Linked DNA regions of Lonchura striata. The protein of the gene in region 2 interacts with the protein of the main gene of each other region in a pairwise test. Links are inferred from orthologs where the notes say so. Each region holds a gene or a part of one and is shown on either strand. Other genes may lie near its edges.

Region 1 (7,418 bases), on a different chromosome or scaffold from region 2:
AAGTGACTGGAGAAGAACACATACACATAATTAAAAAAAAATAGTAGGAGTGGGACTTACAGTGCTTACCTTTAGGCTAGGACAACTCACTCTATGCTTCTGTGTGCTCCCTGTTCAGATGGGGGCTGAAACAGCCATCAGAGGGGCTGACTCCTCACATCCCACCACAAGCCAGATCCGTCCTGCCCCAAGTTCCACACAGTGCTCAGCTTGACTGACAACATAAAACCCAATTTCATGTTAATACTGTGACTCACTGCAAATAATCCACAGTTTGGCTCTGGAATGCAAGCACTTTGTAAATCTGGTAAATAAAGATAGCTGCTGAGTGCTACTATGGTCTGCTTTCCTGGGAGATGAGAGCCTCTCCCTTTGGAACAAAGTGAGGATATGAAGTCTAATCTATTTTATTAATTTTGGTAAATGTTTTTTCATGTTTGCTCAAGTTTGCTATATCAGGCAGCAGGGTCACAGTGCTTATTAGCAAGTGCTACATATGCCCATGTACCACATGCAGCAGCAGCAGCTTACCCAGCTGAAATTAAGGTGGCAAGATGTGTTTTTCTGGCATTGCTGATTTTCACAGAAGTTTCTGGCATGGCAAATTCTGGGGTTGTTTTTTTCATCAAGTTCTGCTGGTTCTGCATGTGATCAAATACTATGCAGTGAATATGACTGATGTTCAAAGGAAAAAAAAATACAGCTTGGCACTCCACTCCAGAAGTAAGCACGCCACAACACTTAACAATGAGCGCTTGTTCACTTGTGATTATAAACAGCCATGTTGGTGCCTGCCAGGCACAGCATTTCAACTTAAGCTCACGGGTCAGCAAGTCTGGGGTATGTTTTTCAAGTCTGTATGTATCTAAGGCTTAGGTGTACCGAAGCAGCGAGCTCTTCTACCTGATCCTTCCATTCCTGCCATCAGGCAGAACTGACAGCCTTGGTATCCACTGCACACCTCATGCATTCCACACGTGGGATAGTCCATTCCACTGAGATCTGACTGCTGAGGGCTGCCAGCAGAAAATGCCCCGAGCCCCACCTCTCTACAGCTTTCCCTGAACTCCTGGAGTTAGGGCTGGCATAAGCTCTTGCTCACCGAGGACAGCAAGTAGGATGCAGCTGCCCGAGCAGGCATTTAGAGCAAGAAGAAAAAGGTTCCTCTCCTTTTCCTGCCTGAAGGTATTTCAGCTTGCTTCTCCCTCTTTCCCGGCATGTTGTAAGTGCTGGGGTAAGGAGGACAGGCTCTGGTAAACCCCCTTCCTGCCATGCTTACGAGGAACCCAATTCAGCACATGGACATTTAGGGTCATATCACTCCATTAAGAATGTCACCAGTTCCAGTGGGACATGGACTGACTGAGCTGCCAAGCTTCTCGCCACTGCTGCTCAGTGTAGAGCCACAGCAAGGGGCCGGGCAGCGGCTTTGGAGGAGCTCAGACTGATGCTACCGAACCCAGCTGTTGGCAGCCTGAGCTCAGTTGTGGCTCTTGTAAGTGCCAGCCAGGCTCAGAGGCGCCCAAGCAGCCGAAGAAGGGAAGGAATGGAGGGAGGAAGGGGGAAAACCACGAAACTCAAGGCAGAGCCTTACCCGTCCGTTCCCCCCCGTCTCTGTCCCCGCACTTATCCCGAGGCACTGATCCGCGTGACGGCGACAGACACGGGCCGGCTGCCGAGGGGAGAACCACCGAGGGAGGAGACAATTCCCTGTCCCTGCCAGCGCCCGGGAGCTCACGTTTCCCTCTGGAACAGGCGCAGGGCCCAAGCGGGTCCCGCTTACAGCTCCGCAGCGGGAGCAGTGCCCGGGCTCTTGGGCAAAGTTGGCAACTTAAAGAGTCCCGTCTAAAAACCCCAACACGCCCGCTCCTCTGGAGCGGCGTTCGGGCCTCAGGCTCCGCACACGCATGACGGGATCCCCGGTTCCAGCAGCGCACACCGCGGGATCCCCGGTTCCAGCAGCGCACACCTCGGGATCCCCGGTTCCAGCAGCGTACACCGCGGGATCCCCGGTTCCAGCAGCGCACACCTCGGGATCCCCGGTTCGAGAAGCGCACACCGCGGGATCCCCGGTTCCAGCAGCGCACACCTCGGGACCCCGGTTCCAGCAGCACACACCTCGGGATCCCCGGTTCCAGCAGCACACACCTCGGGATCCCCGGTTCCAGCAGCGCACACCTCGGGATCCCCGGTTCCAGCAGCGCACACCGCGGGACCCCGGACGGGCAGCGCACACCTCGGGATCCCCGGTTCCAGCAGCGCACACCGCGGGATCCCCGGTTCGAGAAGCGCACACCTCGGGATCCCCGGTTCCAGCAGCGCACACCTCGGGATCCCCGGTTCCAGCAGCGCACACCGCGGGATCCCCGGTTCGAGAAGCGCACACCTCGGGATCCCCGGTTCCAGCAGCGCACACCGCGGGACCCCGGTTCCAGCAGCACACACCTCGGGATCCCCGGTTCGAGAAGCACACACCTCGGGATCCCCGGTTCGAGAAGCACACACCTCGGGATCCCCGGTTCCAGCAGCGCACACCGCGGGATCCCCGGTTCCAGCAGCGCACACCGCGGGATCCCCGGTTCGAGAAGCACACACCTCGGGATCCCCGGTTCCAGCAGCGCACACCGCGGGATCCCCGTTTCCAGCAGCGCACACTGCGGGATCCCCGGTTCCAGCAGCGCACACCTCGGGATCCCCGGTTTCAGCAGCGCACACCTCGGGATCCCGGGTTCCAGCAGCGCACACCGCGGGATCCCCGGTTCGAGAAGCACACACCTCGGGATCCCCGGTTCCAGCAGCGCACACCGCGGGCTCCCGGCACGGCCCCCCGCCGCCGCTGTGTCCCACGGCGGGCGGAGCGGAGCCCCAGACCGCCCCTGTCCCCGCTCCGGCAGCGGAGCCCCGGCTCTCCCCGCCGCCCCCGCCGCAGCCCCGCTCGCCCCGTACCTGCCGGCCGGGCCCGGCCGCGCTCCGCGCCGCGCCGGGCGGCTCCGCCCGCCCGCGGCAGGGCCGGCCCCGCCGCCGCTCCCGCCCACCGCCGCCGCGGCCAATGGCGCCCCGGGGCCGGGCGGGGCTGCGCGCCCCGGGGCCGGGCGGGGCTGCGCGCCCGGGGCGCCCGAGACGGGGCAGAGTCGGCTCCGTGTCTGCGCCCGGGGCGCTGCGCGTGTCCCGTAGCCGCGTGTGCCCTGCCGACATCCACCGCCCTCCTGCACGCTCTCCGCTTGGCCGCCCCGGCGTAACTCAGTGCATTTAGTTTGCTGGCAGTTTTGAGTTTCAAGTTTTGTCACCCCCTAATCACAGTATATTCCATCGAGTACAATGGTGCACATGGATGACATTGTATAAAGATTGTTTCAGTGATAAAATACCCCCAGTGTTTACACTTAAGAGGGATATAAATAGAGACATTACACTGGTCCAAAACAGAAACCAGACCTCCTCCCAAGCTTTGGATCACATCTTCTAACCACTTTTGTGATTATTCTTACAGACGTTTGTGTAGAGAACAAGCTATTAACACTGAAATTGGCGTGTCAGGGAAATCTTTTGCATTCCTCTCTCCCACCCGCTCACCCCCCCCCCGCAAGACAGTGCCGGAGGGTGCTGGGGTCGCTGGGCAGAGGCTGGGAGTGTCCCTCAGCACTGCTGAAGGTGCTGCAGGGGAGCCGAGCTCTGGCCCTTGCCAGGTGCAGTCACACAACCCCAGGCCTGTGCTGATCTATAATTCAGGTGCTTGCTCACTTTCTGTAATAGCTTTTCTATTTTTAATGGGAAGTGATGGCCCTGTCAAGGTATTATAAATATTTTTTTTTCCCAGGTTTTCATTTTCTTTGGTAATAATAATGTGGGCTGGGACGCTCATGGTGCACTTTAGAGCTAAAGTGCTTGGCAGTCATGGGAGTTTCCACAAGACCTTTTTTCTTTACACTTTGTGTTTGTGTCAGATGAGCAAATAAATGAGGACATGGACTAAGTTCAGTGCAGTATGTGGCTGCCTAGCAGTGTACAAGGGAGGGTTACAGAGGTGGCCATCGGGTCACTGCCAAACCCCTGAAAACCTGGGAGAAAGCTCAGCACAGAGGGGAGGCTGCTGGGCTGAACAGAGAACAGATTCAGGTTATCACTGCATATATAGTGATATATATATATGTAGTGATATATAAAAATATAGTGAGATATATATATATGTGTATATATATATATATATATATATATATGTGTATATATATATATATAGTGATATATATATATATAGTGATATATATATATATATATAGTGATATATATATATATCTCAGGGCTTTATTGTGGGGTCTTTTCAGTCCTCCTCCCTTTTCTGTGGGGCGGAGTGGTCTGTTGGTGGAAGGAGCATGGTCTGCCTTCGCAGGCTGGTTTTCACACCTGGGAGCTGGTTTGTGTTGAGCTGGAGTACCAGCTGTGTCCTGGCTGCCTTGGGACCAGTCTGCTAACTCTGAGGAGATCTGCCCAGCTTATAAATTAATTCTCTACAGAATGCTGGGGCTTTTTAAACAAGAGCTAACTGTAAATATCTCTAAACTATAAATAGACAAAGCACTGAACTAAATATGCCAGAGTTTGTTTTAGCTGTCAGACTAATTCAGATCTAACCAGCCATATATTATTATTCTGAAACTGTTTTTTTTTCTCCTGTATGCTAAAATTATTCTGAATTTGCTCTTATGTTATGCTACTCATAGTCTCTATTACTGAGATATAACCCTTTAATTTCTTTTTCTTGTTGTTTTTCAGTATGCTCACCTGGACAACACATCAGCCAAACGCAGCACTGGATTGGCCAAACCACCTGGGATTTGAAGGTTTTTTCCTTTGTTCCTCTTCAATCAGAAGTGGAGGTGTGCTCAGACAACTGTTGCATCAGGGAAGAGAAGCCCCAAGATACACTTTGGGTTTAAGTCAGTATTGAGCAGTCACAACTGAGAGCTTTCTGTTGGTATTTTGTTTGTTTGTTTTGGAAGCTATTACGTACTTGTTTGAATTCCTTACTGAGATACAAACTGGGAGTTTCAACAGTAATCTTAAGAGTTATTTGATAGGCAGGCTCAGGAGCTCTGTTTTTCCTGGCTCTAAAACCAAACATTTGTGGGACCACTTGAAAAAGCTGCAGCCCAAATTACCAGCTTTTAATGCAACTAGAGCAAGGTAAAGAGACTTTATCTGATTGCCTCTGGCATTTTCTCCAAAGCCACTTGTTTCTCAGTAGCAGAAATATCTTGCCCAATTGGGATGCAATAATTTCAAAGCAAGTAAAGGAAACTGCAGCTGCTGAGCTGAGTCAGCCAAAGGTAAGCTCTGCAGGGGAGAAAATGTTTTTTTATTATCTTCTAGTGGCAAGATTACTACAACAGCCTACAGGAAAAGATTAGATTATAACAGTAACAAAAACATCTGTTAAATTCTCAGCTCAGTGTATGTTTAGTGCATGTTTGGAAAAGAAGAAAAAACAACCCAGACATTTGATAAAATTCTTTTGAATAAAACTCAATATTTAGATTCAGTTTGGGATGCTAGGAACCCACTGTGATCATAGGATAGACAGTGATTTTAACTAATTTGCTACATAGGGCATTTAATCAGTGCATAAGACAGCTTTTAGCAACGGAGATTTTATTGAATTGAGCTTGGCATACTGTGACCTAATAAAGGAATAAGACAACTTGTGTTCATCATCCAGGTTACCTGTAGGGATGAGTGACCTCTGTCCTGAGCAAGAGTGTGGGGGGATGAATGTTTGTCTGGCCTGGCTCTCAGGGATTCTGATTATCAGCCTCTTCAGAAATGTGTGAATTGCCATGATTGATTTGTGTCTCTGAAGCCCTACCAGCTTCCTCTGCCTGCTTTAGAAATGAGTTGTTCCAAGTCTGACAGTGCAGAAATTACATCCATGCTCAGCTCTGTCAGTACAGGGTGGAACTTCAGAGTGCCACTTTCCAAATTCTCACTGGTCCACATGCCTTAAAGCTGCTGCCCAGCAAGCCTGTTTCAGAGGCTGCTTGTGCCTTAGGGCATCTCTCAACCCTCGTGCAGGAATTACCCACTTGAGTGGCTCTGGAAGCCTGGCTGCAAAATGTTTGTCCAAGTGATGAAAGTATTCCTGAAAGCAACCTTTGCTTGCTCCTCTGCTTTTTGCATAAAGCAATGCTCAATCAACATGCTTTTGTTTTTCACAGAGGCATTGCTGTGCTTTGCTTGTGTGCAGCACTTTATCCTCAGGATCCTGAAGTGCAGCATAAATTCTAATAACTGTGAAGGCTTGTACCCGTCTCACAGGGAGTTCCTCTCTTGGAGAGTTTCATTTGGTCACACGGTGCTTGGTCACCGACACAGAACAGTGGGGGATTTACTCTTGTCTTCAGTAGCAAATGGCTCTGGCTCAGAGTGAATCAGCTGGGAGCTGAGGAACATCCCCCAGAGCTCCTGACTCACAGCCTCATGTGCCTCACCACAGGGCCACGTCCCAGCTCACGAATCTCGGTGATCCTTACAAAAGCTCTTCTGTGCAAGGATGACAAAACCTCTCACATTTGCAGATTCTAAAGTTACAAGTTTGTCTTGGTGTTTGCTGCACCCTTCCCTGCTCACACCTCAGCCCTGCTCCTGGGTCACATGAGTACAGTGCTGTAGAGTTGGAATTCAGTCTTGAATAACCAATAATGATCAATAATTTCTGAGCTGGTCGTGATGAGTCTCCAGGTTGCACCCAAGATGTGCCCAGTGCAGGGACTCACACCAGGGGAAGCTCAGAAGTCTGAGCTCTCCTGAGGAGCAGGATGGGCGAGCACACACTGAGGAAGAAGCAGGAGCCCTGACATGCTGCAGCCCTTATCTCTGAGTAGTGTTCCCCAGTAATGCAAACAGGATGAGTTGAAATACAAAAGGTGAAGGTGAGGAAAAGCTGAGGTAAGAGAATATAAAATGTCAGGCCTGTGATAAGGTGCAGGTGTTCATTGCAGAGAGGGGTGTAATATTAGAATAAAATGTATGAAATTAATGTGGGGAAAAAAGAGGTGTATCTAGAAAAGTTACTGAATGCATTTTTCAGCATGCTGTAGGAGAGTGCTGCACCTTCTGAGCTCAGCCTTCCTTCCAGAAGGAACATTCTGGGCACGTTCTTCTGAACTCTTTCCTACTGCTGCTGTTCTGTCTGAACAGAGGTCTCACATTCAGTGTGCCTATATTGCACAAGATAAATCATGGTGAACAAATAACTGGTGAGCAAGTGCTTCAAAGACTAAACTGAGGTAGATTAGCCATTTCAAATATTTAAATAGGGAAAAAGCATGGGAGAACAAGAGTGTGATAATCACTGGTTAATGCAAAAAAATCTAAATGACTGATTGATGATTAGTCAAAGACAAATAAAAGAGTGTCATTCCTGA
Region 2 (8,012 bases):
TATTTTAAGGACCTTGGATGGGACTTCCTCCTCTTTTCCCCATGGTGTCAGGCTTTGCTGTCCAAGTAGACCCACAGGATGAGCTATTTATTCACTTCCAGATATTTTTAAGCAGCAGTTATAGACCTAAAAATTCTACAAACAATTATTAACATAACCCCTGCTTTTGTTGCCTATTTCAACTGAATTGCTTTCCACCTAAGAAGTGAAGACTGCAACCCTTTCTCATTCAGCTTCTGTTCCCAAGAGTGATGTTTATTCTGTGCTGCCTCATCAACTTGCCTACTTTGTGCATATTAAAAATACAGCCTTAGCTCTCAGAGTGACTACTAGCTTTTGGATGACAGGTCTGGAGTATCCAGCCTGAACAGACTGTCCAAAGTAATGCTTTGCTGCAAGGCTGTTATAATCTTATGCACAGTTGGAGTCAAAGTCTTCTACTATGGGAAATGATAATGGTCCTCATATGCAGAGTGTGCCCACATACCTTAGGAAAGAGCATGCATGAATACAGTTCTGTGCCAAAACAAGCCATGGTGGTTACCCTCTTACCCACTCATAACCACGATATTACTCATTATTATCCCTTAAAACTACATCTAGGAAAGTCCATTTTTAAAGACTGCAAATCTCCTGTTACTTCCAGCCTTGCCCAGCACAGGCTTCCTCCTCCCCCTTTCTCTTCTTGACCCACTTACACTTTGCCCCTTTCCATACCACTTGTCCTCCTCTGTGGTGTGTCTCTTTTCTTACTACCCCCTCCTTTCCTCTCCCTCAGGACCTTTGTTCTTACCCATTTCTTTGGGCCTATCATCCATTCCAGACCACACATCCCTGTTGTGTCTTCATACCTCTTGTCTCTGGGGCCACTTCCTCCTTGCTTCCTTCAACTCATTTAAGATCTGCCATTGCTCCAAGCTCTCCTCTAATGTCCAACTCACATGTCCAAGCTTCTAACTTCAGCCTTCTTCTGGTTCAGGAGTCCTCATCAATATTCCTAATTTTCATTGGACTCATGCTTGCAAATTACTTTTTCTGTTTTTACAACTCATTATTCTGGTCCAATGCTCCCCAAACCCTTAATATGTAACATGGCTCTGGATTCATTCCTGAACTGACAAACCCATAACTTCCCTATCTGCCTTTGAATTTCTTTAGGATGAAGACCAACTCCGGAAAGCTCTGTAGTCTTGCAACTTTGTGAAAGCAGGAATTTTCAAAGGCTTCATCAATAGCTTCAGAAACAAGTTCTCCCAGGTTGCACTACACCTACATCCAAAGCAGGTTGGGCTGAAATGTCTTTGGAAAATACTGCAGTTCCTTTCAAGTACTCATGCTCAAGTGTTCTTCCCAGAAAAAAAAAAAGGCTGTTTCCTACCCAAGTCTCACTGTGGTAGGGAGTTAGGATCCAGTCAGGCAGGCACACAGATCTGAAAACTAGGAGGTATTACTGGCTCTCCAGTTTAGCATGACATTTGTATCAACTTTGATAAATATTCCAGGATGAGTGGCAGAAACAGTTGATTCCATTGATAATAAGTCAAGTTGTGGACATCAGTGTGGACATCAAATTCTCTGGACAGGGAGACAGTACTATTGAGAGGATTCAGCATGGACTGCAATATGCTCGCTTCAATTGGTAAATAACCACATATACATTCTCTCTTCATTCTCAACTTCTTAAAGCTTTAAGACTTCCATTTTCCTGGCTTAGAGCTTTACATAATATTACAATATATTTTTTTTCCCCAGTGATTGCCCTCAAACCCTCTTTCCTGTCCTCCAGGTTGGGGAAGAATCACATGACAGACTGATAACCGTCACTGGTGAGAAAGGTCACACAATGAGCTGCACAGGTTATTAGAAGTGTGATAAAAAGTCCCATACAGGCTATTTTTGATTAATAAGGCCATCTTTAAGGCATGTTAATCATAGAAATCAAGATCCTGGAAATGTCAAATTTTTTGGTAAAATGTAAATATGGATTCTCTTTTTCTCGGTTTATGTAGATACTTCCTGAGGAGCCATTAGATCACACAAACCCAATATGCAAACTGAATGGATAATGTACATTACTTTACTCTCATCCCCTTAAATGGTACTCAAGATTTGGATTTTGGAAGCCATGTAGATGGATGTTCATGCACATGCCCTTATAAAAATAATCAGTATTTGGCTACAGCACAAACACCTATTCAACGAGTTACAAGAATACTCAGAGAGAGATCAAATTTAGCTACTCCAAAATCTGTCATTAAACATACTGCCAAAATCATATTAAATGCCATACTTACATATAGAAAACAAGTGTTTGAAATTCTCTGCCTTTGGAATGCAGATGGAATTCTAGTATTAAATAAAATGGCAACAGAACTAATGTTTAAAGAGCATATGTGAATAATGTTTAATCTATTTTTATCCAATAAATTTTTATTGACAAAATAATGGGTTTATTATACATCATGAGCTGACACACTATGATTAGGGCAAGGATCGAAGAAGAGACAGAGAACAGAAGGTACCTTTATTAATTTCATATGTCCTTTTATTTTAATCAAAGTGTTATCAATTTGATTCATAAGGCAGCTATGTGCTGTTTCAAATCCTTGGTTTCAGTTACAGCTTCCAATATACATCCTTCATGGAGGTTTTTTTTCTGTAAGGGGCTACCCTCTTATAGTCACACATATGAATATGTTTCCCTTTAAGATTTTCAGAGGAAAGGGACAAAGTCTTTCAAGCATAAATAAAATAATGGCAGATAACTAGTTCAGTTGTACTCTTAGAAATGTATCTTCTTAGCAGGGTATGTTATACCATCCCCCAAAACATCAATATCATCTGGAGAATAATCAGTACAGGTCAAGCATCCTAAAGAGTTTGAAAGTACACCAAATTGCACCATTCTTTGAGTATCTTCTGCAGAGCCCAGCTAATTTAATGCTACAATAGAATAATCTAGTTCTTTGGCAACTGTTTGACTTAAAACATTTCAACAACATTGAACATTGGGAACATTGGGAAATAATTTTAAAAAAAGCGCTGAATGACTTCTGTTACAGTTTATTCTTTGTTTCTAACACATAAATTTCCTCAAGTAAGAGCTCACTGGTGGAAAGTAAGAATTTTCTCATCCACTATTTTTTGCATCTGTGTTTTAGAAGAGTTAAAATACATGTTATCACTAATTATTACAATTAGGTTAATACTGTTTTCTGTAATTAATTTCTAATGAACATATGTTTATTGATGAAAACTGCATCCTATATGCAATGCCATTTGAGCTGAAGGGGTGTTTTATCATCATTGCTCATAATAAAACAACTATAATGTATTTTGCTTAGGCACCAATTCTGTAAATACTTAATTATGAGCCCCTTTTTACTGCTGTGAAAAAAAATCATTTAAATAGACAGAAACTGTCAAGATAGTAGGGCAAAAGCCTGATTGTCTGAACTGTTTGAACATGGGCATAGTTTAAGGGAGCGGAGTTGTCAAGCTCGGTTCTTAAATATTTTAATACACGTTCTGAAAGTAAATTCTCTACTGAGCAGAAGCTGAGGCTAGGAAGTCTTATCAGAGATGGAGCATCTCTATCTTGTGTCCAGTGCAACGCTGTCCCCATCATGGGGATCAGAGGGTAATACAGTATGCATCCATAATACCTAAAAAGGTTGTACTTAGTCTTGTCATTTGTATTTATTTCTATTGATATTCAGCTAATACCTATTACTGGCTGACTATTAGTATTTATCATTATTTCTGTTCTAGTAATTTTGGCCAAAGTTGGAAGTGTAGTTTTAGAAGGGAGCATATATAAAAGCAAGACAAAGCATGGTCATTGATCACTACTGGGATTAACAAAAGATGTATTGAGATTTGAGAGTTATTTTAAGAGATATATAATAATATGCCAAACTATCAAAAATTCAGAATTTACTTTGTCAGTTTTTGTCTTCAGGACAGAAGTACTTTAGGGAGATGCTGTGTGGTCTGAAAAAAAATTTAGGATTAGTATAATGAAGATTGTGTTCTGTGTTCTTTTATACTTTGCCTCAAACTGCATACATAGATGTATATACAGTTTTAAAAGTATCATATTTACATCTGATCACAATCCTCCATCCTCCCTCTTTCCCAGTACACTTAGGCCTCATACAGGTCTGTGCTGTGTAATGTTCTTCTCCAAACAGTTATCCTTGCAGGTGAAGTTCATCCTGGGCATTCCCATGAAGCAACAAGGGCCATCAGTTTTCACTGTTTTCTGAACGAGGGACAGAAAATAAATGAAGATGTTATTTGTCTTTAGGAATACAGGGCACCGATGGAGAGTATTCAAGAAGGTGGCACATCTGAGACTAGTTTTATTTGGTGAGCTGGCTAGGTTGTAAACCAGATGAGGCCCATCACAAGGAATGTGTCCATACCGCAGGCACCCCATATTTCGGGAGCGCAGGAGGAGCCTGGCTCCGCGCTGCCTGGCTTCTGACCATCTCCTCGAGGATGCCCTCGCCGGCCGCGGCGGAGGGCAGCCCCTCTCCCGCAGGACCCGCTCTTTCCTTACTGGTGCCCAGCTGTTCTGCCTCTGCCCCAGGTCTGTTCTGCGCAGAGGAGCCACAGACAGGCTTTCCCCGGTTCCCCGGCGCCCACCACCCAACCTTAGCAGGACCTGGCAGGACCCCCGAGGACCGGACCTCCCCCTCCCCGAAAAGTGCAAGGCGTTATTTTTGAAAGCGCCCAAAATAGCGCGCGACTGCTGCACAAGTCTCCTTATTATTCCTCCAGCGTCGGCAGTAAATCAGGGGGAGGATGCACCTCCGCCGGAGCCCTCGTCGGCAGCCGCGTTTTCGGCGAGGGCGATGCCCGCCGCCGCTGGCGGCTGCCGGGTGCCGGCCGCGGGCGGCCGGGGCGCAGCGGCAGCGCAGGCGAGGGAGGAAGAGGAGCCGCGGCGGCGGCGGCGGCGGCAGTTTCCCCTTTCCCCAGCCCTGGCTCCGCGGGCGCATGCTCACTGTGCCCGCAGCCCTGGACCATATTTGTCAGGACTACTCGAGAGACGGAGAAAGAGAGAATTTGGGGGGGTAAGGAGCGGCGGGTTCCGATCTGATCCGCAAGCCGTTTAGGGAGCCGCGATGGCAAAGGCTGGTGACGGGTTTTAATTTTCCCCCTAGGTGAGGATGAAAGTTAGAGAGAGCCTGAGAGATAAAGGGAGAGACGCACCTCCTCTCCCTCCCTTACGAAACGTATCTGGGGAAGGGGAGGGGGGCTTCTCCCCGACCACCTCGAGCAGAAAGGATGGAAGTTAATGCCGGGTAAAGTGGGCAAGTGACTCGCAAGTGGCTGGGGAGCGGCCGGGGCACCGGGGATCTCACTAAATCATAAGTGTACGAGTGTGAAAGAGGAACAAAAGAAAGAGAGAGGTGCCTGGTATTTCTTTTTCTCTTCCCAAACACATGAAGGGAGTACATGTATATATATATGCGCTGTATATTTATATACATACACAGGCACGCACGCACGTATGTGTATGTACATATATATATACACGGGGGAGGGAGCTGTGGAAATGTGTTTGTGGGGGCCCTTCTTTTTTTTTTTGGGGGGGGGGGAGTGGGTTCCAAAGGGAGGGGGAAGGGAAGGGGAGAGACATTTTGCAGACTTGCCCCACCAATGAGCTTGTCAGTTGGCTGCATTTAATGACACTTACGGGGCACCGCCGTGCTGTTGGGAACAATGTGATGCGGGTGCCGCGGCCGGGCGGCGGGGGGAGAAGGTGGGGGGGCACGGGTGTGCATGTGAGCGCCGGGCGGGGAGGGAGCGGAGCGGAGGGAGGGGGCTCGCTGCCACCCGAGCCCCCCCTCCGCAGCCCCGGCTCTTTGTTCGCACAGGCTGAAGGACGGGGAGAAGTGCGGGCTGCGAGGGGGCAATGCGCAGCGGAGAGGGGTGCGAAAAAGGGTTTTTTGGTCGGAAGCGGCGAGAGGTGGCGGCTGCCGGGATATACCGGTTGAATGTGCCGTGGGTCCCCGTGTGCGAAGGCCTCTACCAGCGCGCAGCAGAGAGTTTGTATTTTCCGTCGCTCCTGCACTTTGTGTGATTGTGTGCGAGAGATATTTAAAATATAACCATCTCCCAATTTCCGCCATTTTGGGGAAAGTTTGCACACACATACACATACAAAAAAAAAAAAAAAAAAAAAGGCAAGCTTGTAGCAATTTTTTTTTTTTTTTAAGAGACGAAAAAAAAAGTCTTTTGCTCGAGTGCTCAGTTCCTGCCTCTGTGCGGTGCGTGCGCCGCGCTCGCTGCGGCAGACATGTGAGGCGGCGGGGGAACGGCCCCTGCCCGCTTCGGGCTGCGTGCGGCGGCGGGGGCCGGCGCCTGTCACCGCCGCCGGCTCCGCGGGCCGGCCTCGAGGGGCTGCCGGGGGCTGGCCCCGGGGTGCCGGCGGTGTGAGTGAGCGCACATACACGTGAGTGCGTATTTTGCCGACGACGGGGGCAGGGAGCGGGGGGGGCAGGCAGGGGCAAGGAATAGGACGCGGCTTTTCTGTTAAGTTGCGCGCTCTCGCCTGAAGTGCGGCCGGGGTGGGGGAGCGGCCCCCCGCGCACACGCCCGTCTCTCCCTCCCCGTCTCCGCAGCCGGTGCATATAACAACAGGATATAGGCACACTTGTTCTCGCTAGCGCGTGTGGGGCGGTGTTTTTTCGGTGGGGGGGGGGGGGGGGGCGGAAAGCGATTTTTTTTTTCGGAGGGGGGGAGGGAGCGGCGGCCGACGGGAAGGCGCTCCCGCGGAGCGGCCGCCCGCCCCCGGCCGGGGCTTCGGAGAGGCTGCCGGGGCTAGAGCGCCCGGGGCGGGGGGCGCCGCGTCGGGGCCGCAGCGGCGCTCGCTCCCCACCCCCTTGGTTTTCCCCCCTCCCCGTCGGAGCGGGCGCACGCGAGAGCGTGAGAGAAAAAGTTGCAGCGCGGGGCCGGGCGCTGGCGGCTGCGGGGCCGGGCGGGGGCGAGCCCTCCGGGGAGGCGGCGTGTGCCGGCCCCTCCCGCGGGAAGGGGTGACTTCTCTGCCGAGGGATGCCCGGACATCGCCTGCGAGCGGCCGAGTAGCGAGTCCCCGCAGCCCCCTAGAAAAAAGAGAGCTCGCCCCCCTCCTCCTCCTCCTTTTCCTCCGCGCTGGGGGAGGGGAGGAGGGAGGAGAAGGTAACATTTTTTAAAATTTTTTTTCCTTTCACTCGGAGGCAACCTCCTTTTCCCGGATCCCGGTCCCGGGGGGTGGAGGCGAAAGGGGGGGGGGGGCGGGAAGGAAAAAAAAAAAAAGCGAGGGACCCGGTAAACAAGCAGAGTCCCTCTCTCGTTGTGCAACTTCCTCAGGAACACTTAACACCCAGTTCCTCTCCCACCCCCGCCCGCACCTCGCTCGCCCCCACCGCCGCCCCCTCGCCGGGGCAGGGGGGCACTCTTCCCCCGCTCGGTTTAATTGCCCGGGGCGGGGGCGAAGGATAAAAAGGCAAATTCGGGAGGGAAACGGAGACACTCGAGAACCGCTTTCCCCGAGCGCTCCTCCCGAGGAGCGGGGCGGGCGCTTTTGTCTCGGCGGTTCTGCCCGAGCCTGGGGAAGACGCGGACCTGAGCCCGGGTTTTCTCCAGAAAGTTTCAAGTGCAGCAAAAACACGCCGCAAAACTGGCCAAGGAGGGACCTCTGCTGGTAGGCCGCGGGCTGCCGGCGCGGGGAGCGGCGGCCGCGCCCGCCGGGCCTCGCCGCAGCGTTCCGGCCGCCGCCGCGCTCCGCCGCGCCGGGCGGGGAGCGGCGCGGGCGGCTCCGGGCGGGCGCTGCCGGGACCGCCGGGGCACGGCCTGCGCGGGAGCGGCGCGGGGCGCGCTCTGCGGCCGTGCCGCTTGTCCCGTTCCGGAGCGCGGCTCGAGCCCCCGGGGTTTTTCGGCTTGAGGAGCGGTGCGCGCGTTGCGAGGCCCCTGGAGATGCGGCAGCTTCCCCCGGGGCGTGAGGGTCACGGCCTCTTCCATGT
Region 3 (7,868 bases), on a different chromosome or scaffold from region 2:
CATCCTCCATCCTGAAATGGCTCTGCCACAATGGGATCTCATTACCACAACCTTTCCGCTGGCAAAGCCATCCGTTAGTGCCAGAAGTGTTCCAACAACTGAGGTAAAAGAAAAATACGATTTTCATTCACTGGTTTAGTAAATTTTCTTCAGTTCCACATAACCATTTCCACCAATCCCTCAAAAAGGACAAGCTTTTAATGAAAAGATGCTGATTTGCAAAAGCCTCATTTTAAGACATTAAATACAGATAATACAATACAGAGCTTAGGCTGATTTCAAGCTTAGTGAATTGTTTTAAATTCTCATTTAAAAATAATCTGAAATTCACTAGCACTGAATTACTACTTCTCAGGTTCAACGAAGGTGTCACAGCAAGTTAAGTAGGTTGTGGTCTTCTTTTCACAAAGATCAAGCACCTTCCTGATGACGTGTCTTGGGACATGTCTTGATGACAAGACATTAACCACCTATGAACCTGGTTTTGTTTGCTGGTGTGTATGGGAGCAAGAACATTGATCTCATTCAGGAACTGAAGGTCACATCTGGTAGGCCTACAAAGAAAACAGGAACACTGATATCAGGAAAACAGCACTGTTTGTAAGGGAAAATACATGAAAAACATGGTTACAAGACCACTGGAACTGGTTAGTTTGGAGTTTTTTTGAGGGGGATGGTGGTGCTTTGCAAAATATTCTTGTTTGCATTATTAATATTTCCCAATACATCCCAAGATTTCCAGACCCCCAAGACCCCACTGGAAAAGGAAACACCGACAGTCCCATTTCAGTGGAAGGACCTGACAAAACATGAAAAAGAATTTCTTCTTGACCACAGAAAATTAGTTACAACTCAGACAGAACATGTGGCATGTTTCAATCTTACTTACTCAAATAATGAATGAAACTTTCATTCACATTCTCCTACCCATTCACTCAGGCAGTTGACACCATTTCTCATAAAAAAGATTACTCCCCTGTTACCCTGGCTACATTCATTAGCAGCTGCACAAGCTACCAGAGTCTTTCCAGTCCCTGGTGTACCATAGAATAGGAAGTCTCTGCAATTAAAAAAAAAAAAATCACACAAGAAAAAATCTTAATGGAAAAGTGTCTATTATAACCCCCATCCCTAAAGAACACAGCTCTCCTTAGCAAAACACTTCATGGATAACAAACACAGCAGTAACAGCTAAAGTGTGAGAAAAGTCAAAAAGGGCTCCTACACAATTCAACAAGGCAGCAAATGAAATTAATAAAGAGGATAATGTACAAAACATTGAGAAGAGATAGTAACATCCCAGAAGGACACATCCAAAAGCTGTGACATACCAAGAGGGGTGGGTACAACACAGTGGAGCCAAACAAACTTCCAGTGCAGAAGCTGAGACCAGGATAACTTAGAAATCACCTGTTCTGCATATTCATTCTCGTTTTCACAAAAGGCAAGATTTGAGAATAAAGCATTTAATTGTCCCTTAAATAGCTTTAAATTTCTGGGTTTGGTCTCCCTTTGCAGGTACTAAAGAAGTAACCTAAAGCTGGGAAGGTATTCTGCATTACCATCTACTAGAAAAACCAAGATGCTGCTGCTTCAAAATATATTTCATTTCATAAAGAAGCAAAAGACAAAGATTTTCTTTTCATTGTTTGTAATACTTTCTGAAGTTACTGAAAGCAAAGCATTTAAAGTCCCATTTGAATATAACATGACTGAATTTTGCTGACCAAAAATATATAATGTTAATGAAATCTCTAGGAATTTCATTTTGTAACACAGAACTCGGCTGTTACTCCTCTGTAAGAAGTGGACAGATTCTTATTTTAGCTCAAGCACAACAAAGACTGCAAGGTTCTAATTGCAAGTTCTGTCAATTTTTAAACTGATTCTTGAGCATTTGAAAAAAAAAAACAAAACAGTTTGTGGGAGAGACAAGTGGGCTTCCATGAAGCAAATTACAGTTGACTACCAGTAGGTAATTCATTGTACATGAAACTCTAAAGGAAAAAAAATCTCCAACTGCAGCTTTTAAAGGCAAGCCACTTTTAAAGAATAATCTCACTTGACAGTAAATCTCTGAACCTACATATATGCTGGTTTTCATCATTTCTTAAAATACTGCTTTTTAATTTTCTTAAAACTATGTTTTACTACTGCTAAAAAAACCCCCATTCAACAGTGCTGAAAATTTTGGAGCATTTTTGTATATTAAACAAAGCTACAACCTCAATAATGTTCCATCAGAATTTCAATGTCAGCACAAAGGAAAGGTTCACAGCAATTTTCAAATTGCTTGAGAGAAACCTGTAAGCCAAGGGAGTTGTAGATAGTCCATTATTGGAAGCTTTCATAAATAGTGTAAATGTCTCACTGATATGTTGAAGTAAAAATCTTACTGAAACAACTATTTGCATTAGCTCAACATCAGACAGATTTACTTCAATTTTCATGTGATCCCTGTGAAGATTTGAAGTGAAAATGCAAGCTGTGTGCAAACAGTGTCCATTCAAAAATCATAAGGCAATTGAGGAAGCACAGTATAAGACAAGTGCTGCAGCGTATCACTGCTATTTCATATTTTCTGAAGAAGGTATTTCCTCCACACTTAAAGCACAGCTCTGGCATAACTGACAGTAAGATTATAATTAGAGAGCAGAAATAAATGTCATTTTAGACAAGCTATGCTTTGGAATAAGTTTTTTTTCAGCTAAATTAAAATTACAAATAATCACTCTATGTGAAATAGTAAAATACATTAGTGTCTATTTCTTCCAGTAGAACACCCCATGATCTCCCATCCTTTTCCTTCCATGCATCTTCTCTATGCAGTTAGTTTTTTGCAAGATTGCTTCTGCAGTACTAAGATACAAATTTGACATGTAAGAGCAAAGATAGATAAATACAAAAAACTCTATTGAAACTGACACACATGATCTGTAATGACATTTTGATATAGTGAACACACAGCAAGAATTACTGGCATTTAGCCAAGTTTTTCAAAACTACTTAAAAATTAGGTCAAGTGTTTACTTTTTTTATACATACTTAGGAAGAAGTGTTTGCGGATTTGCAAACGGACCGTTTTCATATTTATTTTCCCCTCTTGCTAAACAGAGTAAAAAAAGAATTCTGAAGATATAGGAAGTTAACAGAAAAAAATTATGGCAGGCTTTCACAGCACTAAAATTGCTTTGCATGATAACATTTTGTTTCCAGCTTTCCTCAGACAACAGGTTACTTATTCTCTTAACCGGAGTTAAGGTCTTGTGCTGATTTTCCATTACTATACATGGTAGAAAGAGCATCTCACTGCTGTTACACTTTGTAAACCTTTCAGAAAACAATGTCAGTTTGCACTTCAGGAAGAGAATTAAAACACAGATACGCAGACAGAAACACTAGGACTGCTTCACTTTGCCTGTATCCAACTTTCTGCTGCATCTTAATTCAACTGGGTGTTATAAAATTATTTGTAAGCATGAAAGAAAAGTTAATTACCCACAAAGCTGCTTCTGATGCCAAGAAAATTGATTTAGATGATAAGTTAAATCTACAGAAGTTTACAACACAAAGAGAAAGGTTCACAGCAATTTTCTTTTTGGTTCACAAGAACCAGGCCAGCCCATACATAAAAGATCCTCTGGTGTGAAGATCTCTCTGCAACTGACAACAGTTGAAAATGAAGACACTTGTGGCCAATTTATATATTGGCTGTGCCCGAATTCTTTACATATGAAGCACTGGCCTAATACACCCTGCTGCATGCAATCTGAGATTTGTGGCTTAAGCCACAAGCACCTGTTTCCAAAAAACTCATGTTAAACGGCTTGGCCCACACCTTATATAAATCAGTGCATTAAGAGTAATTACATGACAGCTCAGGCTGACGCACTGGATGGATTTGAGGGAAAACTGGAAGACTAGATTGTCATGCTGTAGGGTGCTCAGAGCTCCATGTCCTGCTCCTTGCTCCCTTTCTGTGTGCCTCTTCTGCAGCAGGAGAAATGCAGCTCAGTGATGTGGCTCTTGCCTGTGTCCCTGTCTGAGCTGGGGAAGAAAATTCAGCTGAAAGTTCAGCAGTTTCATGATTTCTACTGGAAAGCCCCACTACCTATTTTTAATCTGCAGAAAAGCCAGACATGGTATTGCTCAATAATGTGAAATTTGAAAAATGAAACTGCCATATAGCATGTAAGTGAAATTTTCTTGGGGAGAAAAAAAAAAAAAAAAAAAAAAGGCAGCCCATTGGGCCATTTTCCAGTGCAGACTTTAGTATCAGAGCAACACCATCGAAGTTAATGGTGCTGTACCCTTTTATCTCCTCTTGCTCCACTCTCTTCAGAACCTTCCCAGCCACCCTTCCCCTCTGACAGCATCCATCATCGGCTGGAAATCCTGGAGGACCAGGTGAGCTGCCGAGCAGCCGGCTAGATTTGAAAAATACTGCTCTGGATGACTCAATGTGTACACACAAAAAACTCTGACACAGAAGGTGGAAGGGGCTCCTTGTGTTGACAGCGTTTCTGGTGGAAACTCTTCTAGGCTGACGAACAACTCCTCAGACTGAAACATGTCACTAATTCCCTTCCATGTGCTGCGTAGAGAGAAGTGCTTAAAAACGTGCCCATCCTGAATTACCTCTGGGCGAGCTTACTTAGAGCCACGGGCGCGCACACAGACCCGCGATCGCCCACAAAGAACGTCTCTCAAACATCCGCAGGAGGTCGGTGGGGAGCCGGCAGCCTCCCGCTCCCACGAGGCGCCGCCCGCGGGCCGGGCCGGGCCGGGCCGCTCCGCCCTCCCGCCCAGGGCGCTCCGCGGGCCGGGCCGGGCCGCTCTTCCTTCCCGCCCAAGATGGCGGCGGCCCCGCCCCGCCGGGCGGTGTCCCGGAGCCCGTCCCACGGCGTGGGGTGTATGACCGCGCCGTGCGGCGGGGAGGGCAGGCGGCGGCCGGAGCGGGGTGTGCCGGGTGAGCAGCGCTGTCCGGCCGCGTTCTGGGCGCTCGGGGATGGCTTGGGTCGGGGCCGGCCGGGCAGCGAGAGGGAAACTTTCCTCGCGGAGCCCTCCTCCGCCGGGACTCCGGCCGCTCTCTCGCGGCCATGTTGGGAGCCGGGGGCTGCCCGGGAGGAAGGAGCGCCCCGGCGGGAGGCGGCGCTGGGCTCCGCTGTCCCGCCCGGGGCTGGGGCAGCGCCGCGTCCCGCCGGCAGGGAGGCAGGCGGCGGGGCGGGCAGGACCCGGGGAGGGAAGCGTCGGCCGCGGGCGCTAGCTTGTCCCAGGGCACTGAGAGAGTTGGGGGCTCTCGGCAACGAGTTCGTCTTCGGGAAAGGGGAGAAACAACAACGGCGGCGGCCCCGCGGCGTTACGTAAGTGCCCGAAACTCCTGGACTCGTGACTCCGCCGGGGCGCCGTGAGGCGGCGGGACGGGCGGGCGGGCGGAGGGCGCTTCCTGCCCCGGCGGGCTGGGGCCGCGCTGCCCCGAGCCTTGGCGGCCCGGGGGGCTCCGTGTCGCTCTCGGAGCGGGGCGCCTGAAAAGTGTTGGCACTGTTGTGAAAAAACAGCGGAACCGCGAGCCGTGCGGCTGCGAGCATAAGGTGCTATTTGTTTTCCTCTATGAAATTCACCTATTTTGAGGGGAGTGTAACAGGTCTGCCAGAGATACGTATGGCCCGTAAACTGTTTTCTGAAAGTAGCTCGAGAAAAGACAGCCGCATGTTTTTCCTCTCGCCTCATTCGAAATACTTTGTTCATAGGCACTCATGTTTATAAATGGCAAAACTGCTCATCGCGGCGAGAAAGCGATGGGTGATTCTGCTGAGCAGCACGTCCTGGCATCGGCTTTGTCCCTACTGAGGGAAATAGCTGTAACTCGAGTTTTGACATAAAGCATCAGTGCAATGGTTGTTGATAGCCAAGAGGACCTTTTATATCCTTAACCAGAGATCAGGAATCGTCTTTTGGCTGAATTGATGCAAATGGTTCCAGAAGCATCATTAAGTTCTAATTCAGGCTGTCCTCAGGCTGTGCTAAGAGTTTCTGAAAGGGTTGATGCTTATTTGAGAAACACTATATCTGAAGCTTCAATGTGCCTAACAGCTTAAGGTCAGATGAGGTTAATACAGTAGGCAAAGTGACTCTAAAAGCAGACCCACAACACAGGAATCTTTCAGAACCGAGACTGCAAATTCCTCTTTCTCTCATGAAATAAGGAGAACTTAAATATCCAGATCTTAAGTTCTGATACTTGTCTATTGAATTATTTTAGGGATGCCTGTCTGAAAGAAGGGAAGTATTTAAAAGACAGCAGTGTAATCGGTGCTGAGATCCTGCAGATTAATTGCTTTGTGTGCCGTCATCAGCATGCAGAATGGAATTGGTTCTTTAGCTCAGAAGGCAGTGCTCTTGCTTTTAGCCTCTAATCTAAAAACTGTTGACTAATCCCAATGGGTAATAGGAATCCCAGTGTTGTAAAATGTCTTTTATATTAGCTCAGTTTCTTAAATAATACTTTTCCAAGTGTTTTAGTGCCACCAATTTTGTTGAAAACAACAGTGAAAGTGAAGTGTTGTATGCCTGAGTCCCAAATTCTTCCTTCTGAATGCAAATCAGCTGTGTGCCGTTTGATGTGTCTGAGTTTTGCTCTACATACAAGCCCACATAGAGGAAGTTCCTTAAACACTAAATAAAAACTGTTATGTAGAAATTTTTAGCTGGAGAAGCTGGTTCAGTTTCCACCGTTGTATTCTGTAGAAAGAGAATACCATCTTTTCACCTGAAAAGCAAGCTTTCATTAGATGCAGTGATGAAATATTTTTTCAGTAAGAGCTTTGTTCTGTTACCCTTAAGTCAAGGGATGAGCTTTAACCATAGTAAATAGACATGTCCCCAGAGTGACAGATCTATCCATAGTATCTTAAAGCGCTTTGGTTTACAAAAATTATCATTGGTAAAATATTTGCTCTACTCAAAAGGTATGGTGACTTTTAAGTTTCACTATTGTGCTTAGTGGATGCAGGATAGTTTCAGAGCAGTAAAGAGATGGAACTGCAATTTCACGTGAGGCATGATATGACAGAGCATTGCCAAAAGCCCCATGAGAGCCGTTATGGCAGAATACGAACACTGGTGTCATACACTTACAGCATTTTTAGTGGCTTGTCTTCGCCAAAGAGGGCTAGAGGTGTTTAAGTGAAAGCTTAGGGTCAAGGCATGGCACATAGATAAGGCAGAGTTGAATTTTTTAGTACTTGCAGACCTCATTTTCTGAAAATGTATGTTAGATAAAATGTTGGAAGTTGTGTCCTAGCAGACTAATGGCATGCCAGTTTTTGCGCTTATTAATGGGCGATGTCAAATAAGGAAATCTCAGTACTAACAAATAATATGATTCTTAGAAGATGGTAGGTAAAAATAAAAAATTTTTGATTTTTGTACTAGGAAATGAAACCTTGTTTTGTACAGCTTCAAATCGTAAAGGCGCTTTTGTGACTTATTTCAAGCTGTGTTAATATTCAAGCTTACTTTTTTCCATTTAATTTTTTTTTAAGTTACAGATCATGCTTATATATGTATATTTTACTACTTTCCTGACTTAATTCAGTATTTAGATGAAAGTATGATATTCCAAAAGAGAGTACTTACAGGCAAATGTGGATTTCTGAAATAGAAAAATGTATTAAAAACTTTCTCCCTAATGCAGCAAGTGCCAAGTTTGGTGTTGTAGGATAATTTTTCATGATTCATTGGAGGACTTGTTTTTATAGTTGAGGGGGATGAAAAAGTACTCTATAGATAGGTGTGGTAGAATATGTTTACTAAAGATTGCTTTATTGTTGTTGTGAACTGTAAGATATGATTACATTAGCAAGTAG
Region 4 (7,346 bases), on a different chromosome or scaffold from region 2:
GCCCTTTCTCCTCTTGGCCAGCTCAGCTAGTTCCTCCTGGATATGCTGTACAGAAGCAGCATCTCCCTTCTGCTGTGCCTGCTTGAGGGCTTCTTTGTACATTTGTTTTGCTTGCAAGAAATCTTCTGTAGCAAGAGAGAAAAAAGGCTTGGTTACCCACTTCCATCACCCATTTTCAGAGCCTCCTCCTGATGCTGATCACATGCAAAGGACAAGGACTACTTGGAACACATCAAGATCTAGGGAAGCTCAGAAAACATCCTGCCAGGTTTTGAGAGCTGGAGAGCAGCAGTGATGATGTGACCTGGTGCTGCTTCAGCATTAAAATCTCACAGAAACAAATCTCACACATGTCTTCTGTCCTTTTGGAAAAGTTACTGGGGACTAAGGACATGGGAAACAAGATCCCCTGGAAACCATTTGGCTCAGTTTGTGAAACCAATTCAAAGTCACATCTACTGCCTAAACTAAAACTAATAACCCCAAACCAGCACTGCAGCTCACCCCTACAACACAGATCCAGATCCCTGCACTCAGCACAAGCTCAGTGGCTGGGCATGTATTCACTGACCTTTGTGCATCAGGATTGCTGCCAGGTTACTGAGCACCATGTGCTCCTCGGGGTGCTTTGTGTCCCTTGCCAGCTCTGCTGCCCTCCTGCTGTAGGTGTGCGCCTCCTCGTAGCGTCCCTGAGCGTCCAGCACCGTCGCCAGGTCATTCATCAGCACCACACTCTGCACCAGGAGGGAAAAGGGAAGCCTGTGGAGCAGTCTGGGGCAGCAGAAGCACACATTCATTCCCTGCCACACCAGTTAAAGAAGTATTTCCCAAAGAAGCTTTCAGTAAGGAAGTAGCCTGTATTTCTGTATTTGCATGCTCGTCCTTCCTGGCCATGTTTGATGGCAGCAGAGCTGCTCCAAGGCTACCTCATTCCCTACAGATCAGCCTTTCCTTCCCTGGAGTCCTACTACTCCAAATCACCTGTGGATGAGTCTCTCCCTGAACATCATTTGATATCTGCAGAGCCTTCTCATACATCTTTTGTGCTGCTGGGAGCTCGTTGATGTTCAGGAGGTAGCGGCCGTAGGAGTCCAGGCTCATCCCAAGCAGGAGCTGCGTGTTGGCCTTTTCTTCAGCTGCAAACAGAGAGGAGTGAAGTGATCACTGCCACAGGATTCAGCATGAACCCCCATCCTACCACAGCAGAAACTCAGGCAGTGGGAAGACAATGGATTGACATGAAGATGGCACTCAGAAACAACATCAAGGACAGGGAAATGGAAAAAAGATGAGAAGCCTTTGGCAGACAAGGCTGCCCACCTGATAAGACATCCTCAGGCAAGTCCTTCTGCTTGGCAATCTTCTCCTCTAAGGTCAAGATGCAGAACTGGTAGCCAGCTACAGCTAATTTGTGCCTGTAAAGTGCAAAGCAAAGCTCCTTCTGTCCCTGAAGGATCCCTCATTAAAGATCCTCTGCTTGACCACCTCACCAGCATGGCAAAGCTGAGATGAAAGCAAGTGCCACCTCTAGCTGGGAACTCACTGTTTCTGAGCAGCATAGATACTGGCCAGCTTGAGGGATATCTCAAGGATGGCGTTGTCATCCTGCCAGGAGGACACACAACGTAACTGTTACTCTTCTTGTACCTTCCCAACAAAAAGACTACTTTTTCAGAGAGTTTAGACATTAAAGATCCCCATCTTGTTGCCTCCAGTGCTGCCATCCTTTACAGTATTCCAAATTTCCAGTAAGAGGCATTACAGCACAAGAAATAAGGTAAAGAGAAGGGCCCCACTGGAAACCTGTCTCAGAACATACCTCCTTTGTGTCCCCTGCAAGCATATAGCTCATAGTTGCTTTGTAGAGCTTTTCTGCCTGAAACAAGAATTTTGAAGGGGATACTGAGAAATTATGGCATTTAAAACAAAACAGAGGCAAATTACACAGAGGGAACTGGCTCAAATTTGTTGTGTTTACACTCAGCAAGAGCAGTTAGAGGTGAAAGGCTGACCAGAGCCCACTGGTATTGAACCAGTGAGTCCTTTCAGTTTCTGCAGGAGCACTGCAGCAGCAGCCAGACCTTTACTCTGTGAGCTCAGGGCTTTCCCAGATTCTCCTTGGAGCATCTCTGTGCTCAACTGCAGCTTTTCACAGTAAGAAGTATTCCCTCCTTTAACTGTGAGAGCACCTGGTGTGTTCATGGGACTGCAATCCCGAGTTGGATCATTCTGCTGTGCACTGGGACATCTCTGCCCCACAGCTCTGAGCCTGCAGCTTGTGTGTGCAAGCACCCCATACCTGAGACCGTGCACAACACGTCAACTTCTAAAAATTCAGAGGGAAAACCCAGAGTTACTCACATTGTCCAGCTGTCCCTGCATGTATGCCACGTTCCCCATCTGGAAGAGACACAGAGCGCTCAAGCTCCGGCGAGGCGATGCGGCCGCGCCTCAGCAGCAGCAAGGCCGGCTCTCACCATGCTGTAGGTGTAGATGACGGCCTGCCGGTTCTCCTGCTGGTGCGCCCGGCGCAGGGCTTGGTGCAGGAGCTGCTCGGCCTGGGCCAGCTCCCCGTTGATGGCGCTGAGCTGCGGGGACAGCGGGCGCGGTCACCGCCGGTCACCGCCGGTCACCCGGGCGCCCGCACCGCCCGCACCGCCCGCACCGCCCGCACCGCCTCACCTTGGCTCTCTTCAGCAGCAGCACGATGGCGTCCTCGCCGTCCTCCTCGGCGTCCCGCGGGAACGGGGAGAAGCCTGCGGGGACAGCGCGGTGAGTGCCCGGCGCCGGCGGCGCGGTGCCCGTGCCCGCCGCCCCTCTCACCTCCCAGGAAGGCCAGCGCGGCGCCGGCCGGCCGTGCCCAGCGCGCCCACCCCGCGCTGCCGCTGTCCCCGCGGTGTCCCCGGTGTCCCCCCGTCCAGGCGGGCCGGGGCAAGGCGGGGCAGCGCCGGGGGCACAGCCGGGACAGCGCCCGCGGCAGCGCCGCCGCCGCCATCCCCAGCGGGCCCTTTAAGAGCGCGCGTGACGTCAGCGCCGGGCACGGGGCGGGGGCGTGACGTCACTCCCGGTGTGGGGCCGGGCGCGGGAACGGGAACGGCACTGGGAACGGCACCGGCACCGGGAGCCGGCAGCGAGCGGGTCCCGCCGCTCTGCCCGCCCTGGTGAGCAGCTGAGGAAGGAGCAGCTCCCGGGAAGCGCTGGGGATCCCACCCGTGTGGGAACGCCTGAGGGGCTGCACCGGGCCCTGCCCCGGCTCTGCCCCGGGCTCTGTCCCGGCTCTGTCCCGGGCCCTGCCCCGGCTCTGCCCCGGGCCCTGCCCCGGCTCTGTCCCGGCTCTGCCCCGGGCTCTGCCCCGGGCTCTGTCCCGGCTCTGCCCCGGCTCTGTCCCGGCTCTGTCCCGGCTCTGTCCCGGCTCTGCCCCGGGCCCTGCCCCGGCTCTGCCCCGGGCTCTGCCCCGGGCTCTGCCCCGGCTCTGTCCCGGCTCTGTCCCGGCTCTGTCCCGGCTCTGCCCCGGGCTCTGTCCCGGCTCTGTCCCGGCTCTGCCCCGGGCTCTGTCCCGGGCTCTGTCCCGGCTCTGCCCCGGGCTCTGTCCCGGCTCTGCCCCGGGCTCTGTCCCGGCTCTGTCCCGGGCTCTGCCCCGGGCCCTGCCCCGGCTCTGCCCCGGGCTCTGCCCCGGGCTCTGTCCCGGCTCTGTCCCGGGCTCTGGCCCGGGCTCTGGCCCGGCTCTGTCCCGGGCTCTGGCCCGGCTCTGCCCCGGGCTCTGTCCCGGCTCTGCCCCGGCTCTGTCCCGGCTCTGTCCCGGGCTCTGTCCCGGCTCTGCACCGGGCTCTGCCCCGGCTCTGCCCCGGGCTCTGTCTCGGCTCTGTCCCGGCTCTGCCCCCGGCTCTGCCCCGGGCTCTGTCCCGGGCTCTGCCCCGGCTCTGTCCCGGCTCTGTCCCGGGCTCTGTCCCGGCTCTGCCCCGGGCTCTGTCCCCGGCTCTGTCCCGGCTCTGCCCCGGCTCTGTCCCGGCTCTTCCCGCTCCGCAGCAGCACCGGGCCAGGCAGTGCCCCTGAGTGAGGAACACCCACGGGAGCTCTGCTGCTGTGGTGCATCTCAGAGACACCCGTGTGTCGGTGGGGAATCCCCTCCTGAACGTGTGGGGAAAAAAACAAAAACAAAGAAACCTTAGAAGTTGTTTTAAAACATTTTAAAGTATGTCATTCCTTGGTGGGGATGGGGTGCCCAGATAATCCCCCCCGATGCTCAGTATCCATGGTGACCCTGAAGATTTCCCTCTGTCTCCTGTCCTGTCTCGTTTCCAGGGATGAGCCCGTGCCGGTGGGATGGACAGGAGCACCTTGCCAGCTGTGGCAGAAGAGCTCTTGAGAGAGATCAAAAAGGCTTTTCAGGAGACCTCACAGGGTACGTGAAGGAGCCCCGCAGGAGTGGCCTGGCACACCCCCAGCGAGTGTGCAGGGGCCTTGGCCTCCCCTCTCCTACCAGACCCTGTTGTCTGGACCTTTATGTCCCTTTTTTGTGACAACAGACAGCTGTGAAGCACAGATAATGAGGAGCAGCCCCTCCTCAAGTCCAATTCAAAAATCACACCAGTTGGGAGACTCTTTGTGAGATTTATGAGGAGACTGCTGCTTCTTAGAGCTCCTGGTGCACATGGTCACACTTAAGAGATGATAAATTAATGCCTCCGGGCAAGAATTCTGCTGTGCCCTCTGCACTGCCGGTTCTACAGACTCACCAATCCCAAAATTGGGGTTGGAAAGGGGAATTTCCCCAAGCCGTGTCCTGACTGACCGGCAGAGGGGGCGTGCTGCTGATCCCAGGGCGAGGAACAATTTCCCAGTGCTTCAGTGAAAGGAACCCCAGCCAGCGCCGAAACCCTGGCCAGTTCCAGCAGCTAGTTAGGAATAATTACCTTTGCTGGATCTGTGTTTGTGTTTACTGGATGAGTTGCACAGAATGGCTCTTCACAAAGTAAGGGTCTGCTGAAGGAATATTTTTAACTGCAAAACCCAAACAAATAAGAATTCAGATAAATCTGTCTTGAGCACTACGTGGGAGTGAGGAATGGGCAGAAAATTCATGTCTAAACTGTCAGAGTGACCCCAGTGACAGCTTTTTGGCACACTTGCACTGTGACTTCTGTCAGGTTAGAGTAGATCCAAAATCTACATGTGACTTTTAAAAGAGCTTTATAAATCCTGTTGTAAACTAAGCAAAAAAAAAAAGTTTACATCCCTTTAAAGACGTCCTTTTTACAGCAGCAGAGTGGTACTAAAGCACATGTAGAGACAGAGCTGTGGAGACAAACTGATTGATCCCTTTGCAGAATTAAATTCAAATAAAGCTGGAAAAATCAAACCAACACTGCAGGTCATAGAGAGTATTTTGAATTGTCAGAAGAAAATTATTTTAAAGTCAAAAATCCAGATCTTCCAGTGGGATATGGAGACAGAGTACACTGTGTCCCCTGGGTGATAACAGAAAGATCAGAGTGGACAGGCAGAGCCTGAGCTGTCCAACAAACACAATTTGCTTGAGTGTAACTTTCCATCTTAAGGAGACAATAAATGAAGACAAAATGTTTCAGTGGGCTCATAAACCAGTGGCGCCCTGCAAGAGTGTGCTGGGAAAAGAACAACATTTTTTTAAAGTTGTAATGCCTGAGTTCTCAACTCATGCCAGGAGAGTTTCAGGGAAAATAATATATATATATTTTTTAACCAGGCTGAGGACTCCTGCCTTTTATTGGGTGCTTTTAAAAGTAAGATGTCATAAAAGAAAATCCATTTGGGCTTCTGCATTTCTTTTTAAAATGAATCCCTGTGGTTGTGATTGCTGTGCTTGATAAGTGCCTTAGCACTGCCATCATGGATCATTTTGCTGCTCCTTATTGCTTTTTTGGTGGCTAGAGAGGATGTTGAGATCTCTGCAGTCCTGTGTGGCTTCTGGGGATACCTTGAGGGGGACAATAACCCCCCTGTGATGCGAAATTCTGCAAAATCACATTTCCTTTTCTTTCTGTTGCAGTCCCTGATGAGCTGCTGCTGGGGTGAGTGTCTTCAGCTTCAGTTCCTGCCCCAGTGTCCTGCTGAAGGGCAGTTGGTGGTCAGCTCTCATCCTGGTTTTCCACTGTGTTTGACCAAGTGCTGCTGAAACACAAAAACGCTGGTGGTTTTTGTAAATGAACGTTCTGACAGGTTTTTTTCCAGAAATTCACAAAATGATCTCTGTATCACAGCATCTCCTGTGATGACTTGCTCTAATTTAAACCCAAGATATTGAACCTGAGCTCTGAGTCCAGCCTCAGGTCTGGCAGGAGTTGCTGTGGGAGTGGATTGTGTTCCAGGGTGATTCATCCCTCTGCCTTCCTGCCACTGAGCACCCTGAGCTCACTCCTGCTGTTTGAGTCATGGGCACGTGTGATGGAGAGGGAGAAGTGTCCTGATCATCACCCTGCACAGGGGAAATGTTAACTTGGAGACTGAGAGTTTTCTTCTGTTTGGGGTGGGCTCAGGTCCGCTTTGTCACCCTGTGAATAATTTAATCATTCCCAGCAGTAACCTAAGAGATCCAAGTTTCACAACTTCAGCCCTCACCAACTGGTGTTGAAGGTGGAGAAGAGGCATTGTCACAGTGAAAGAGAATTTTAGATTCATCTTTAACCTTGTGTCTTGCCTGCCAGGGGATGAGATCACCAGGAACCCTCCAGGCCTTGATGCCTTTCTGTTAAAGTTATCTGACACACCACCTGTGAAAGGTGTGCTGACTCCCTCTCCTGGGATCACAGTGGCCTTTGAAAGGTGGGATCAGATTTGAAAGCTTTTGCTTCCTTCTCCTCAGAAAAGAGGAGAGAAATTCCCTTGTTAAGTTTAATAATGGTGGTAACTCTTGGCAGCCAGATTTCCATCAATTCCCTGCATCCAGCAGCTCAGACGTATTCTGATTTAATTTCCCAATCTCTTCCAAATCTCCAAAGTCCTTGAATTTCCTGTGGGCACTTCCTGTTGAACTGATCAAATTATATACACAAGAAAAGAATTCCCTAGATTTGAAAAGAGTTCCTGAAACTCACTGAACTCAGCCCCCTTATAGTTCCAAACCTAATCATGAAGGAATGTCTTAGTTAAGCGTTCCCCACCCACCTCCTCAGATGGAGCCAGCCCTTCTTGCCTTGAGTTTGTGCAAGTTTTGGTCTTCCTGGAATCTGTCTGCTTGGCTGCCCATCAATGAGCTTGACTCAGCCTTGCTGGGGCTCTGCCTTGCTCTGTCCTCCCTGGCCTTGGAAACTTTCCCCTTTCTCTTGGTCTCCTCCTCTGTTTGGTGCTATCTCTTCATCACTGCTGAT

Evidence for each region.
Region 1: the proteins of L3MBTL3 (region 2) and pleckstrin homology domain-containing family F member 1 interact in binary tests that used the Homo sapiens proteins (3 or more experiments, as listed by UniProt). The two-hybrid records come from large-scale screens. The link is inferred for Lonchura striata from reciprocal best matches to the Homo sapiens genes L3MBTL3 and PLEKHF1.
Region 3: the proteins of L3MBTL3 (region 2) and PLEKHF2 interact in binary tests that used the Homo sapiens proteins (3 or more experiments, as listed by UniProt). The two-hybrid records come from large-scale screens. The link is inferred for Lonchura striata from reciprocal best matches to the Homo sapiens genes L3MBTL3 and PLEKHF2.
Region 4: the proteins of L3MBTL3 (region 2) and TTC19 interact in binary tests that used the Homo sapiens proteins (3 or more experiments, as listed by UniProt). The two-hybrid records come from large-scale screens. The link is inferred for Lonchura striata from reciprocal best matches to the Homo sapiens genes L3MBTL3 and TTC19.

The regions. Positions count from the first base shown.
Region 1 is NC_134615.1:9,366,050-9,373,467, forward strand, and holds the start of pleckstrin homology domain-containing family F member 1, read right to left. Parts: upstream 3,010-7,418; 5' UTR 2,947-3,009; intron 2,058-2,946; exon of another isoform or gene 1,595-2,057; intron 215-1,594; 5' UTR 70-214; intron 1-69. UniProt on the Homo sapiens protein: May induce apoptosis through the lysosomal-mitochondrial pathway. Translocates to the lysosome initiating the permeabilization of lysosomal membrane (LMP) and resulting in the release of CTSD and CTSL to the cytoplasm.
Region 2 is NC_134605.1:60,466,984-60,474,995, reverse strand, and holds the start of L3MBTL3 (lethal(3)malignant brain tumor-like protein 3), read left to right. Parts: upstream 1-5,001; coding exon 5,002-5,078; intron 5,079-5,283; exon of another isoform or gene 5,284-5,292; coding exon of another isoform or gene 5,293-5,309; intron 5,310-5,347; exon of another isoform or gene 5,348-5,417; intron 5,418-6,380; exon of another isoform or gene 6,381-6,463; intron 6,464-8,012. UniProt on the Homo sapiens protein: Is a negative regulator of Notch target genes expression, required for RBPJ-mediated transcriptional repression. It recruits KDM1A to Notch-responsive elements and promotes KDM1A-mediated H3K4me demethylation.
Region 3 is NC_134603.1:23,857,407-23,865,274, reverse strand, and holds the start of PLEKHF2 (pleckstrin homology domain-containing family F member 2), read left to right. Parts: upstream 1-4,856; 5' UTR 4,857-4,969; intron 4,970-5,183; exon of another isoform or gene 5,184-5,363; intron 5,364-7,868. UniProt on the Homo sapiens protein: May play a role in early endosome fusion upstream of RAB5, hence regulating receptor trafficking and fluid-phase transport. Enhances cellular sensitivity to TNF-induced apoptosis.
Region 4 is NC_134622.1:8,221,841-8,229,186, reverse strand, and holds the start of TTC19 (tetratricopeptide repeat protein 19, mitochondrial), read right to left. Parts: upstream 3,015-7,346; 5' UTR 2,996-3,014; coding exon 2,824-2,995; intron 2,757-2,823; coding exon 2,683-2,756; intron 2,589-2,682; coding exon 2,478-2,588; intron 2,401-2,477; coding exon 2,362-2,400; intron 1,877-2,361; coding exon 1,820-1,876; intron 1,606-1,819; coding exon 1,544-1,605; intron 1,416-1,543; coding exon 1,321-1,415; intron 1,137-1,320; coding exon 982-1,136; intron 735-981; coding exon 572-734; intron 126-571; coding exon 1-125. Other genes in the region: ZSWIM7 (zinc finger SWIM domain-containing protein 7), read left to right, coding at 4,324-4,402, 6,029-6,050. UniProt on the Homo sapiens protein: Required for the preservation of the structural and functional integrity of mitochondrial respiratory complex III by allowing the physiological turnover of the Rieske protein UQCRFS1.